Linked DNA regions of Lytechinus pictus. The protein of the gene in region 1 binds, or shares a complex with, the protein of each later gene. Links are inferred from orthologs where the notes say so. Each region holds a gene or a part of one and is shown in the gene's direction. Other genes may lie near its edges.

The links.
Region 2: the proteins of negative elongation factor D-like (region 1) and negative elongation factor A-like are in contact, whole or in part, in a crystal structure (PDB 5L3X), measured with the Homo sapiens proteins. The link is inferred for Lytechinus pictus from reciprocal best matches to the Homo sapiens genes NELFCD and NELFA. Residues at the interface, in XP_047296144.1 of Homo sapiens: Cys204, Gln205, Gln206, Leu207, Glu208, Phe210, Ser211, Leu214, Arg215, Leu218, Ala219, Ile221, Leu222, Asp223, Gly225, Glu226, Cys241, His242, Gly243, Glu244, His245, Thr246, Tyr247, Leu248, Phe249, Ala252, Met253, Ser255, Val256, Leu257; in NP_005654.4 of Homo sapiens: Leu23, Trp24, Ala25, Leu54, Leu58, Leu61, His62, Arg65, Pro88, Trp89, Met92, Val93, Ile96, Leu97, Phe100, Gly104, Ser105, Leu106, Leu108, Leu110, Asn116, Val117, Asp119, Ile120, Leu121, Glu123, Leu124, Arg125, Lys127, Val128.
Region 3: the proteins of negative elongation factor D-like (region 1) and negative elongation factor B-like are in contact, whole or in part, in a crystal structure (PDB 8JJ6), measured with the Homo sapiens proteins. The link is inferred for Lytechinus pictus from reciprocal best matches to the Homo sapiens genes NELFCD and NELFB. Residues at the interface, in XP_047296144.1 of Homo sapiens: Arg63, Ile66, Met67, Glu68, Pro69, Ile71, Phe72, Leu75, Ile89, Gln90, Leu92, Ser93, Tyr96, Thr97, Ala98, Val99, Ala100, Gln101, Thr102, Val103, Asn104, Leu105, Leu106, Trp109, Leu110, Gln112, Thr113, Gly114, Val115, Gln121; in NP_056271.3 of Homo sapiens: Met49, Leu53, Leu56, Val58, Ala59, Asn60, Gly61, Leu64, Lys65, Leu68, Thr69, Leu75, Ile78, Glu79, Phe81, Gln82, Glu84, Asn85, Gly86, Val87, Leu88, Leu89, Ser91, Leu92, Ser94, Ala95, Leu96, Pro97, Phe98, Leu99.

What each region holds. Positions count from the first base shown.
Region 1 is NC_087246.1:62,259,422-62,263,176, reverse strand, and holds the start of negative elongation factor D-like, read left to right. Parts: upstream 1-1,189; 5' UTR 1,190-1,305; coding exon 1,306-1,353; intron 1,354-3,755. Other genes in the region: small nuclear ribonucleoprotein-associated protein B'-like, read right to left, coding at 952-954. UniProt on the Homo sapiens protein: Essential component of the NELF complex, a complex that negatively regulates the elongation of transcription by RNA polymerase II.
Region 2 is NC_087256.1:23,775,012-23,778,766, reverse strand, and holds the start of negative elongation factor A-like, read left to right. Parts: upstream 1-771; 5' UTR 772-845; coding exon 846-1,058; intron 1,059-3,501; coding exon 3,502-3,673; intron 3,674-3,755. UniProt on the Homo sapiens protein: Essential component of the NELF complex, a complex that negatively regulates the elongation of transcription by RNA polymerase II.
Region 3 is NC_087259.1:18,432,932-18,436,686, forward strand, and holds the start of negative elongation factor B-like, read left to right. Parts: upstream 1-969; 5' UTR 970-1,037; intron 1,038-3,755. UniProt on the Homo sapiens protein: Essential component of the NELF complex, a complex that negatively regulates the elongation of transcription by RNA polymerase II.

The sequences.
Region 1 (3,755 bases):
AAGTAGATCCTAAGTAAATAAATTCTGTTTACCATATTCTTCCAATTGTTTTTTATGACATTACTACAATTCAACATTCATACCACAGAAAACATAGATCCTACATGAATTATATTTGATTCAATGATTGTATTTTTGTTTTGGATCAAATGACTGAATAAAATGAACTGAATTGAATATAAATTAAAAAAAATAAAAAGTGTGGATATTTGGGCACTTTACTCTACAAGTTACAACCATTCCCGATCGCGATATTCAGAAACGCAGGGGCATATTGACCTCAAAATGTGACTGAATTTACTTGCCATGACAATTTTGCAAGCAATTTCTGACTCGAAGTCGGCCAGTGTGAAATTGCATTGGCGCCGTAACATCACAAAATTTGTGAAGAATTAGATCAAGTGCAAAGTTCAGTTTCAGATTGTTTTATAATTCTTTACAACACATACAATTTTGAAATTTAGTCCAACAGTTTTTTTTTCAAGCTCCCGAGGCTGAGCTCCACAACTCAAAAGCCAAAACTGGATTAAAATACAATACAATGAATTAATACAAGTTACAAGAATCAAGATCAGAAGATACCAAAATTCTTTCTAACAGTAACATTAACAAAGTTAACGTGGAGCTCTGCGTTCCGTATCTGGCTTGAATTGGCCAAGTAAGGTAAGGAATGCAGAGCTCTACGATTTAGAGCCATATTAAGTTGAAAAACAACAACAGCTAATTTGTTTTCAACGACTTCACAAGTCTCTATGAAAGCCGAATCAATGCCATTTTTAGTTTCAAAGAGAAAACCGAAACATACACAGATATGTACATGTGGGACACCGTTTTCGAATACACACATCCCCGCAATAAGTCACAAATTGTGAGCTTCATTAGATAAATTAAAATAAATCGTAATACATTTCATCGCATATATGTATATTATTCATATAAATATATAGTTACCATTTTGAAAGATTGTTATAGCCCCGATGTAGAAGGATATTGACTGCTTTCGTCGACCGTCACAAACATTCGCGAAACGACACGCTCAGCTAGCTGGCTCGAGCAGCGCGAGCATATATGCAAATATATGACGCCAAACAGCACGCGCGGCGCAATACGGAAATTAAACCAATTACAGAGTCCGTCTCAGACCCCATCTTTGTCAAGTGGGAATTTACAGACGATTTGATTGGTCCTTAAGCACAACAAAGATGGCAGCGCCCATGGCCATACTTTTCTACGTTGTCGATGTCTTGCATTAGGACTCTATAGGAGACTATTTTATCAGTTCTAACTTCATCTCTTGAATTGAAAATGGATGAAGACGAATATGGAGATGTTGACTGGAACTATGACCAGGCTGTACGTATGCTTAGTAATTCTTTTTAGCATTGTCTCATTTGTCTGGGTTGGGCGCCAACTGCACTCCGTCTCCATACCAGCCGGCGGGCGCGCCGGGCCCGCGGACTTTGCCCGTGCCTGCGCCCGTTCTGCCTGGCTATGGCTATGCCTATGGCTATGCCGCTGTTCGGTAAACGCGGTAGCAGTGCCAGTGCTGAGGGTTACGATACCTCGTCCTCGGGCGAAGTTCGTGCAGGCTCCACTTCACTACCACTGACCACTACGCTACGAGCGTAGTGGAGCGGAGCCTGCATGAACTTCGCCCGAGGTAAGGTCGGATTACCAGTGGCAGTGCTGAACTTAGACAGCTGGCAGCCCTCTGTTTCGAGGAGTTTTCTGACACTTTTAAAATTATTTTTTTTAATTTCTCCTTATTATACACAAACGGCTTGCTATCCACTCTAGGCGACACCCCAATACTTACCCGTGCTAATAAACTGGGACTCCACTCACGCGCATTTGGGCCGCCCTAGCTTAGAACTAAGCTTTGTTTTACTAAAAAATAAATCTTGTAATGATTCAATAAATGTTACTTAATAAATTAGTACTGTTAAATCGGTACTCACCGGTTCTTTTCTTGAATTTTCTGGCAATTTCCCACGCTTCTGGCTTCAATTCTGCGGCTGTTCCTGTCGCGGTAGACAACTACATATGCAACTTTATTTATAAATAGAGCGCCCCTTACGATAGTTGTTAAGAACGCGGCCAAATTGTTAGGTTTTTTGCACTGTGTCCAAGGCGTTTTTATTTTGTTTGATTTTTTATTTTTAATAAATATTTTGTTAAATAGCGATTTTTACGTCAAATATTAAATTCATATCACAAAATATTTTTTATTGTAGAAATATATATAATATCATGCAATTATTCATTCTATATATATTTTATAATAAAATTTATAATTGTTGCGGTCTTTAAAAAAGGATAGTCGATTGATCAGGTGATGACCACATGTATCACGTGATCTGAAAATCAGCTTCATACCGCTTTGATCGCACTCGACATTGACCGGACTGACTGCCAAAAAAAGATCGAAAAATGACTCAAATGTAAGTTTCCCTTTATTTTATTAAATTCAAATTAGGAATAGGAATATATTTAATGGGCAATCTTTTAATAAATGATAAACAAACGAGGACAAAACTCATATTTTGGGAGTAATATACTTGGGTGCAGGAAACAGTACGTTTAGAAGTTCTAACCTGTTTTTAACGCATTGTCGCCTATGAGGTCCATACATGTTAATGTTTGGACCTCATTGGTACTAGGAGTGTAGACAGGAATAACCGTCGTTTCTGGGGATTTATTCAACAATTTCTGACATTTTACTGTAATCCCCATTTACCGACGGTAGGGTGTACGTGTGGGCTCGCATGTGTTCTCATTCCCTCCCTTTTGTCAATTCACAGTCCAAAGTTTGATGTAATTTTACACATCGAATTTACAATCTAAGGATGTATAAACAACAAACTTTTAATTGATGATATTCTAACATTTAAATACTTTAAACGATATAGATGAAAAAGGCATGAAAAATATACTTTACCGATGTTTAATTGGGTTGAACACGATAAAAATGGTCAAAATGGCAGCCAAACTATAAAATATTTACAAACGAACGTCAACAATCACGAATGTGATATCGATATTGCTTTCGATATTATACGATCTGCTCCATATGCGATCGAAACCGAAGATAAACGATACTAGTTATACTAGTACTAGTACTAGTTATAATCGCGATATATCGATTCGAGACATTAAGTTAATAACGATAATGACGTCATTCAAGATGGCAACTTGCAAGAAAAACCGTCAGGTCAGGTGAAAATGTCTTAGATGACAGATTTCTCAATCATCCAGAGGATTTTTTTCAATAACTCCGGCCCAAGGTATGCAATTACTTAATTTATTTATACTTCCCTGATAATGGAAACCATGAAACTTTCAATTTTGCTTAAAAAACAGTTTTAAATCGCGATCTATAAAACGCTAGTTCACTATACGTTGGCTGTAGGTACGGGGCCCCACCCCCTTCAGTCTATGTATGGTGAGTGGAGCCAACGTAGTTCAGCGGAACAACCAAAATACAGAGACTGAAGCTTTTGGTCTACTAGGAGTGTTGCTATCGTGCAGCCACCATAAGGGCACTCTAGGCGACACCCCAATACTTACCCGTGCTAATAAACTGGGACTCCACTCACGCGCATTTGGGCCGCCCTAGCTTAGAACTAAGCAATATTATCTAGAAATTGTTACATTGTAGTCATTAAATATGTTCTATTAAATAAATTGATAATGTTTAATCGGTACTCACCGGTTCTTTTGTTGCATTTTCAGACCATTTCTCACAATTCTTCGTA
Region 2 (3,755 bases), on another chromosome or scaffold:
CTCTATAAGGAGAAAATGCTATGCTTTGGAGCGGCTTTCTGTGTTCTTTTCCTCAATAAGACTAAAATGCTATGCCTTGGAACGGAAATTTGAGTGTAAAAATGGGGGTCCCCTCCGAGGCACATACCCACTATGCATTATATACTGAGTGCCCCCCCCCCGGGCCTATGCCTCTAGCTGTCGTATACTGTTATACTAGTACGTTCAAAGTCTCTAAACAAATCCATTTCCTGATAACCAGTCCTAAGTACCCCCCCCCCCTTATCGTTAAATGCCCTCATTTACATATATAACACCCATCAGGCCCTGATGTATGTTATATATAAACAATTCTCAAGCATTTTGAGACTGTGATTTTTTTCGCTCTGTCACTACGCTCCCTTGCATAATATTAATAATGTATTTTTTAAAGGGGGAGAGGGACTAGCTGCTGGGACAGTATAAGGCTACCCCACAATGGGCCATTTTCATTGTATTGAATAAACCAATGTACAAAAAATTCTCAAGCCCCCTGAAGCCACCCCTCCCCCCCCCCCCAATCTTTTAATAGTCTAGAACCGCGCCTGCCCCCCTTCTTTATTTCTTTCTTTTCTCCTCTCCTTCCTTTTTCCTTTTTTCAATTATTTTTTTAAGAGGATGAATAGCGGGATATCGATCCCATCCTTAGGTATACGTGCTGTGATACCTTACAAATAGTCTTATAATTTCATGATTTTGGTTTGTCCTTTTGTAGACAGGGTACATAATTTTCCCTTCATGTTTGGTCTGATTACTTTACTCTTTTTCTTAATGGTCGCGCTGTATGGCCCGGCCCACCATGAAAAGTTTGTGTTTATAAGCGCAATATGGCGACTGTTCGCGACAGCGACACCAGCCTTTGGCTTCACAATAAACTCGGTGATAATGATGATCTTTGGTCTGGAATTACAAGTATTAGCACTCAACTTCACCAAGATGTTCTTAGAAACACACATGATTGCTTTCAGACTCTACACCCGACTGTAAAACTCAAACTCTTGATGGCAATTCTCCATATGCCTCTTCGAAAAGTGGAAGAGGTGAGTATTGTGGTCCCATCTATTCACAAGTTTGTATGCAGGATGAGTGAGTTAGCTGATACAGAGAGCTGTCAGAATAAAGCCTTTAAAGGAATATGTCTTAAATATGAATACCAAAGTCATTGCATTTTTTTTCAATAATAAGTTTAACACTGGTAGGGAGACGATAACACATCATTTTTCCAGCATGTTTGTGCTGACTGTAATCTGTATGAACGCGACGATGACCCCAAATTTAACTTTTTAATTACTAATACTACTAACACTAGAGGCGCACGGCCAATATGGGAGACTCTCTCCAATAGGGGAGACAATCTCCCACATTGGAGACTTGCTTTGCAAAAGGACAAAAGAAACAACACCAACAAAAGCATGATTTTTTCCACCCAAAATTTTGTCTCACTGAGGTCAGAAGCCCATTTGTTTAGTGTGTGATTGACAACAAAAATCCTTATCAAAACAAAAGTAGACGGTGAATTTTTAGTGTAGACGGTGAAAAGGGGTAATTTTTCATGAGGAATCTGCTTATCACATTTTTATTTGCCGCCAAGGTAATCCTTTTGCAGCAATTGTAAACAAAGGAAATTGGTCTCCAAAACTGGAGACTGTCTCTGAAATTGGATACCCAAATTCTTCACAAAAGTCTCTGATATTGGAGATAATCTCCCACATTGGAGACAGTCTCCAATATTGGCCGTGCGCCTCTACTGACAGTAACATTTATTTCTAAATTTAAGTCGGACACTTTTTGTCTTTTTTTTCAATGCAGTTTTTACAGTTGATCCTGAGCAGTTTTTATTTAATGGTTAGCATCATGTAAATTCTGGTCTTTTTACAAATCTGCACGAAGCTTTAGTAATGAGAAAAACTAAAAATATTGGTAAAATCACTTGTTCACTGCAACCACCCTGCCTGTTGGGAATCTACAGGTTGGACTATGGCATGCCAATGCTATACAGAGCACACACTTTAAAAAATGATTAAAATATCACTTTTGTGACCAAAATTACTAATTTCCATACAGTTGCAATTTATTTTTCATTAGTAACTTAAGAATAATTTTTGTATTCACTAGAGCGTTCAAAAACTTGAATTTTGGGCATATTTTTGTGTACGCCCTCTATTTGTGGAAAATAATATGGCAAGAAAATTTTCATTTTTTTATCTCTATTTTTAATTAAGAAAAAATAATTTAAAGAATCAAATGTACTTAAGGGCCAAGTTGTATGACGAATAGGTGTAATGGAAACTGTCAGTGTAAAAAAATCAAGTATTTGTCCCAAAGAAAAAGAGAAAATAAGCCAAACATTGCCATCCTTATTTTGCCACACATGGATATATAACTGAGAACAAGGTTATACCATAACCTTGTTCATTGAATGAGTGGGTAAAATAGGAAGTTAGTAATACTAATACTAACCTCGCAATACGTGTGAGTGAGGAAGTTCATGATTTTCCAATTTATTTTATGGGAATCTAATATCTTTGATGTTTTGCTTACATCAAAACATCGACAGTTGATTCTGGTTTTGATTTCCTAAGAAGTTGATATCATTTAAGAGAACACCATTTTTATGCTAACTTGTATTTTATTTTAAGCCCAAAAGTCAAAATTAACAATTTTATAGCCTAATATAAACAATATTTGTAATGTTACCAATACCACTAACCATTATCTTCACAAAACATGGGGTGAAATGGCAGAAAAATTTGTTGAGCTCTATCTCATGCAAGGATTGTCCAAATATTCTTTTGAGTGATTTAATATCATTCTTGTCAAATTAGAGTTCAAGGTTCTAAGTTATATTAAGGAAATGCAAAATATATATTCATGCTTAAAATGAAGAAACACTATCAGTAATTATGGTGAGAGTAAATTTAATTCATTGAGAATACTTAATCAAACTGTTCACACATGGCGGATAAACAAGCAATGAATAAGTGAGCCATGTCATGTCATAGTATTGCACCCTAAATTCTTCACATGCCGAGATCTGACAGATCAAACTACTTTCACAAGCCACCACTTTCAATCACAACAACACACACCAAACAAATTATGTACACAAGCACTATCACTCACCACAGGAAAATCCAGATTTCAACTCCAAACTCCAAATGATAAACCCTGTATTATATATATATCATTTCCACCAAATATCAAACCTAAAGTTCAGGTTTTGAGTGAAGGTTTTGTTCATTAATAATAATAGACCCTATATCAAAATATGGGAATCAACATGAATATGAATCAGAGTTCATAATCATTGAGCATTCATTTTTGCCTCTAACATTTTTCTCTTTTTTTTTAATATAGTTTCCTTTCTTCTTCTTTTTCTTCTTCTTCTTCTTCTTTGTCTTCTTCTTCTTCTCCTCCTCCTCCTCCTCTCTTATTTTACCAGCCTTCGTCATATCTTGTTTGATTAATTCTCTCCCAAACTAGTGCAAAGAAGAGCTGAGCGGTATTCTCCATCAAGCCCTCACCGATACGGATGAATGGGTTGCCACAGTAGCAGACATTCTAAGATCGTATCCCGTCTCTGGTCAGCTTAACCTGGAACTAGAAGATAGTCATCCATTCTTGGCAGAAGCTCTTCATGAACTGCGGAAAACCTGTGAGTTTCAGGGCGGAACATATCTCAATGCTTTAAAGTTTTGAGTTTATGTAACCTGGGGGGTGTTTCACAAAGACTTAAG
Region 3 (3,755 bases), on another chromosome or scaffold:
GACAATATTTTACTCGTATATCACAATTACATGCATTTTATGTACTTATTCTCGTGAAAATGAGTTTCTCCATTCGCATTGTACATAATGTATAATGGGCATATGGCGGCCATTTTGAATTTCAAAATACAGCATTTATCACATAAATTGCATCTCAAATATTATATTCCGTTAAAATTGAATTTTTAGCCAATATGCCACTCACTTATCTTAATTATATGCATTTTAGTACTCACTCTTGTGATTTTCTTTTGTCCCCATTAACATTATACATAATACTGTCAGGGCGTTTGGTGGCTTTTTGAATACTAAAATGTTTCATTTATTACACATATGACATAACAAATGATATATTTCGTTAGCAATCATGTTTTCATCCATTACTTCACAAAAAATCACAACTACTTGCATTTAGTGCTCACTTTTGTGAAAATTATTTTCCCCATTCATATTGTACATAAAGTTGAATACAGCGGTCTATGGCGGCCATTTTAAATATCAAGAAAATACATATTTTTTTCAAAAATCGTTTTTTCAGAGAGTATTTCACTCCTGCAACACAATTACATACATTTTATAGCCAATCTACTGGCAATTTTATGATTTTCATGGGTAATTTGCACATTTTGGCGGCCATATTATTTTGCCAATTTGCGGAAAATGCTCAAGGTTACACGAGTGGCATCATTCAGATTCGTAATCAGCACCCTCGAATTGACAAGAAACCATGAAAAAATATTGTATGTATGAAAAAACAAGGTTTGGACAATTTTCTATGGGGCCTATCCTGGACTATTACGGGGTCATTTTGCACACAGAAAAAAACTCGTTTTTTTAGGGGGGTGTTTGGAAATAATTTGGTCACGCATGTGTGCAGCAATACATTTGACTTCCCCCAGCCCCCCCCCCCCCGGGATTTTTAGACATTTTTATTCTCGCGCGCTTGAAAGATATGGGTCTATGGCGCATGCGCATATGAAAAATTGGCCCATGGCGGCCATCTTCGGAAATAGTACACGCTCTCTAAATTACGTCAGGTTCGTTTAGTTTTAATTTCGTTAATACCACATTTCATTCTGTATCATTCTATTGTATTGATTCCGTCAATAAAGATCTTTATTTTTTGTTAATTTCAAAGCGTTTTGGATATTTGAAGAATAAATATCATTCAATCTTTGTAGCAGATGTTGCACGTTAATGTCAAGTAGGTTCTTCATCTTGGTCCCAGTCGTTCAAATACATGTATGGTAATAAGTAGACCAAAAGCTTCGGTCTCTGTTATGTTGGTTGTTCAGCTGAACTCCGTTGGCTTCACTCACCAAATACAGAGACCGAAGTTCTAGCGCGATCTGTACAGGGGACTCAATGGCCATATGTTTATGTACTTAAGATCGGATAAAACGGGGAAGTGAATTTGCGCGACAGCCGAGGTAAGTCACTGTTTTTGTTCCTTTTAACTTGATTTTTCTCAGTTTTTTGGCAATTAATGCCAAGAGGGAATATTAATTTGCATTTTGGTCGCGTTAATTTGCAAAATTTTTATTCATTAAATACAAAAATTGAAGAGCCCCGACGGGGGGATTTTGCATTGCAAGTCCCCTAATGGTGGCTGCACGCTAGCGAGCCGTCTGTGTACGACTACGAGGAGAAATTTAAAAAAAAAAAAGTTAAAAAACTCCTCGAAACAGACGGCTGCCAGCTGTCTAGGTAATAAGGTGCCCGAACTGAAGGAAAAGTCTGCGCAGTGCCAGTGGCTTTTTTCTGCCTGCGCCTAACTTACATGTATGATGGGGGGACCTAAAGCTACTTACTTTGTTTTCAAACGATATAGACTATGCCAATTTTAATATTTGAACAAAAATATATCGGGTCAACTCGGACCACGGGACATCTCGGACCGCGGGCCGAGTTGTCCCACCCATTACGAGATTTTTTTTCTCACAAATCTGCGTCTATTTTTCCGTCATTTCGTAATTTCTTGTAAAGATTTTCTAGAGATATGGTCTGATGGTAATGTTCTTCACTTTCTATTACTTTTTTTCGCTGAAATAAAAAAAAAGGTGTAATTTTAGGCGTTTTTCGACAGCTCGCGATTCCCATAGGCGCGCGTGTATTAACCGTGTCGGTGCTCGGCTCGGCCCCACTCAACAACTGACTTGATTTTGTGATCATTTCTCCTCAAGTTACCACTTTTATCGCAGAAGATGGACTTTCTTGTATTCCATTAACTCCATTTTCTCATCACAAGAATAAAATTTGGTGCATTTGCACGATTTTGTTAAAGTTTTTCACCTTTTCTCTCTGGTCGCAAGAAGCGAACAACCGATGAACGGTCCGCTGCTCTTCATCGCAATTCTACGTAGCTCGGCCGCCTAAACTGGCGGGGTGGGATTCAGCCCGAATCCTCAATGGAAGTGGGCGTGCACAGTCAAAGAGCTGAGCTTGACTGAGTGAGAGAGTGAACTAGAGCTTGAAGTTTGGCAGTGTCGTATAGGCTCTGCCTTTTTTTGTAAATATTTATATATTTTTTTATTTTCCCTGGTGTAGAGCTTTAAGATAATAATTTAATATACTTCAATTTCTTTGACTGAGTGTGACTGTGGTGTGGATGTTTGAGTCGCACAAAAAATACTTTTACGAGGGTGGGGGCTCGGGGCGATTTCACTCCTGCCCCCGAAATGTGAAAAAAATATTCGCAGTGTAGATGTGTGGGCATGCCGTGCTGAGGGTAGCCATCAATAATAAATGTTTATTTGGGGGCTTAATTTTTAACTTCAAATTGATTATTTTTAGGCCTATTTTTTTTTTCATTTCATTTTATTTTTTTATATTGAGTGTCCCTGGTGTAGAGAGCTGAGTTTTAAGTTGTAATAATCAATATGCTTCAATTTCTTTGACTTTGAGTGTGACTGTGGTGTGGATGTTTGAGTCGCACAAAATATACTTTTACGAGGGTGGGGGCTCGGGGCGATTTCACTCCTGCCCCCGAAATGTGAAAAAATAAATATTCGGGGTGTAGCTGTGTGGGCATGCCGGGATGAGGGTAGCCATCAATAATAAATGTTTATTTGGGGGCTTAATTTTTAACTTCAAATTGATTATTTTTAGGCCTATTTTTTTTTTCATTTCATTTTATTTTTTTATATTGAGTGTCCCTGGTGTAGAGAGCTGAGTTTTAAGTTGTAATAATCAATATGCTTCAATTTCTTTGACTTTGAGTGTGACTGTGGTGTGGATGTTTGAGTCGCACAAAATATACTTTTACGTTGGTGGGGGCTCGGGGCGATTTCACTCCTGCCCCCGAAATGTGAAAAAATATTCGCAGTGTAGATGTGTTGGCATGCCGGGCTGAGGGTAGCCATCAATAATAAATGTTTATTTGGGGGCTTAATTTTTAACTTCAAATTGATTATTTTTAGGCCTTTTTTTTTTCTTTTTTTATTATTTTTATATTGAGTTTCCCTGGTGTAGAGAGCCGAGTTTTAAGTTGCAATAATCAATATGCTTCAATTTCTTTGACTTTGAGTGCGACTGTGGTGTGGATGTTTGAGTCGCTCAAAAAATACTTATACGTGGATGGGGGCTCGGAGCCTCTTCACTCCTGCCCCCGAAATGTGAAAATGTTCTAGGTGTATCTGTGTGGGCATGCCAATTTCATTTTTATTTTTTATATTGAGTTTCCCTGGTGTAGAGAGCCGAGTTTTGGAGATGGTGAGAGGGGCGAGGATGTGAGGGATGGCGATGATGAGGGGTGG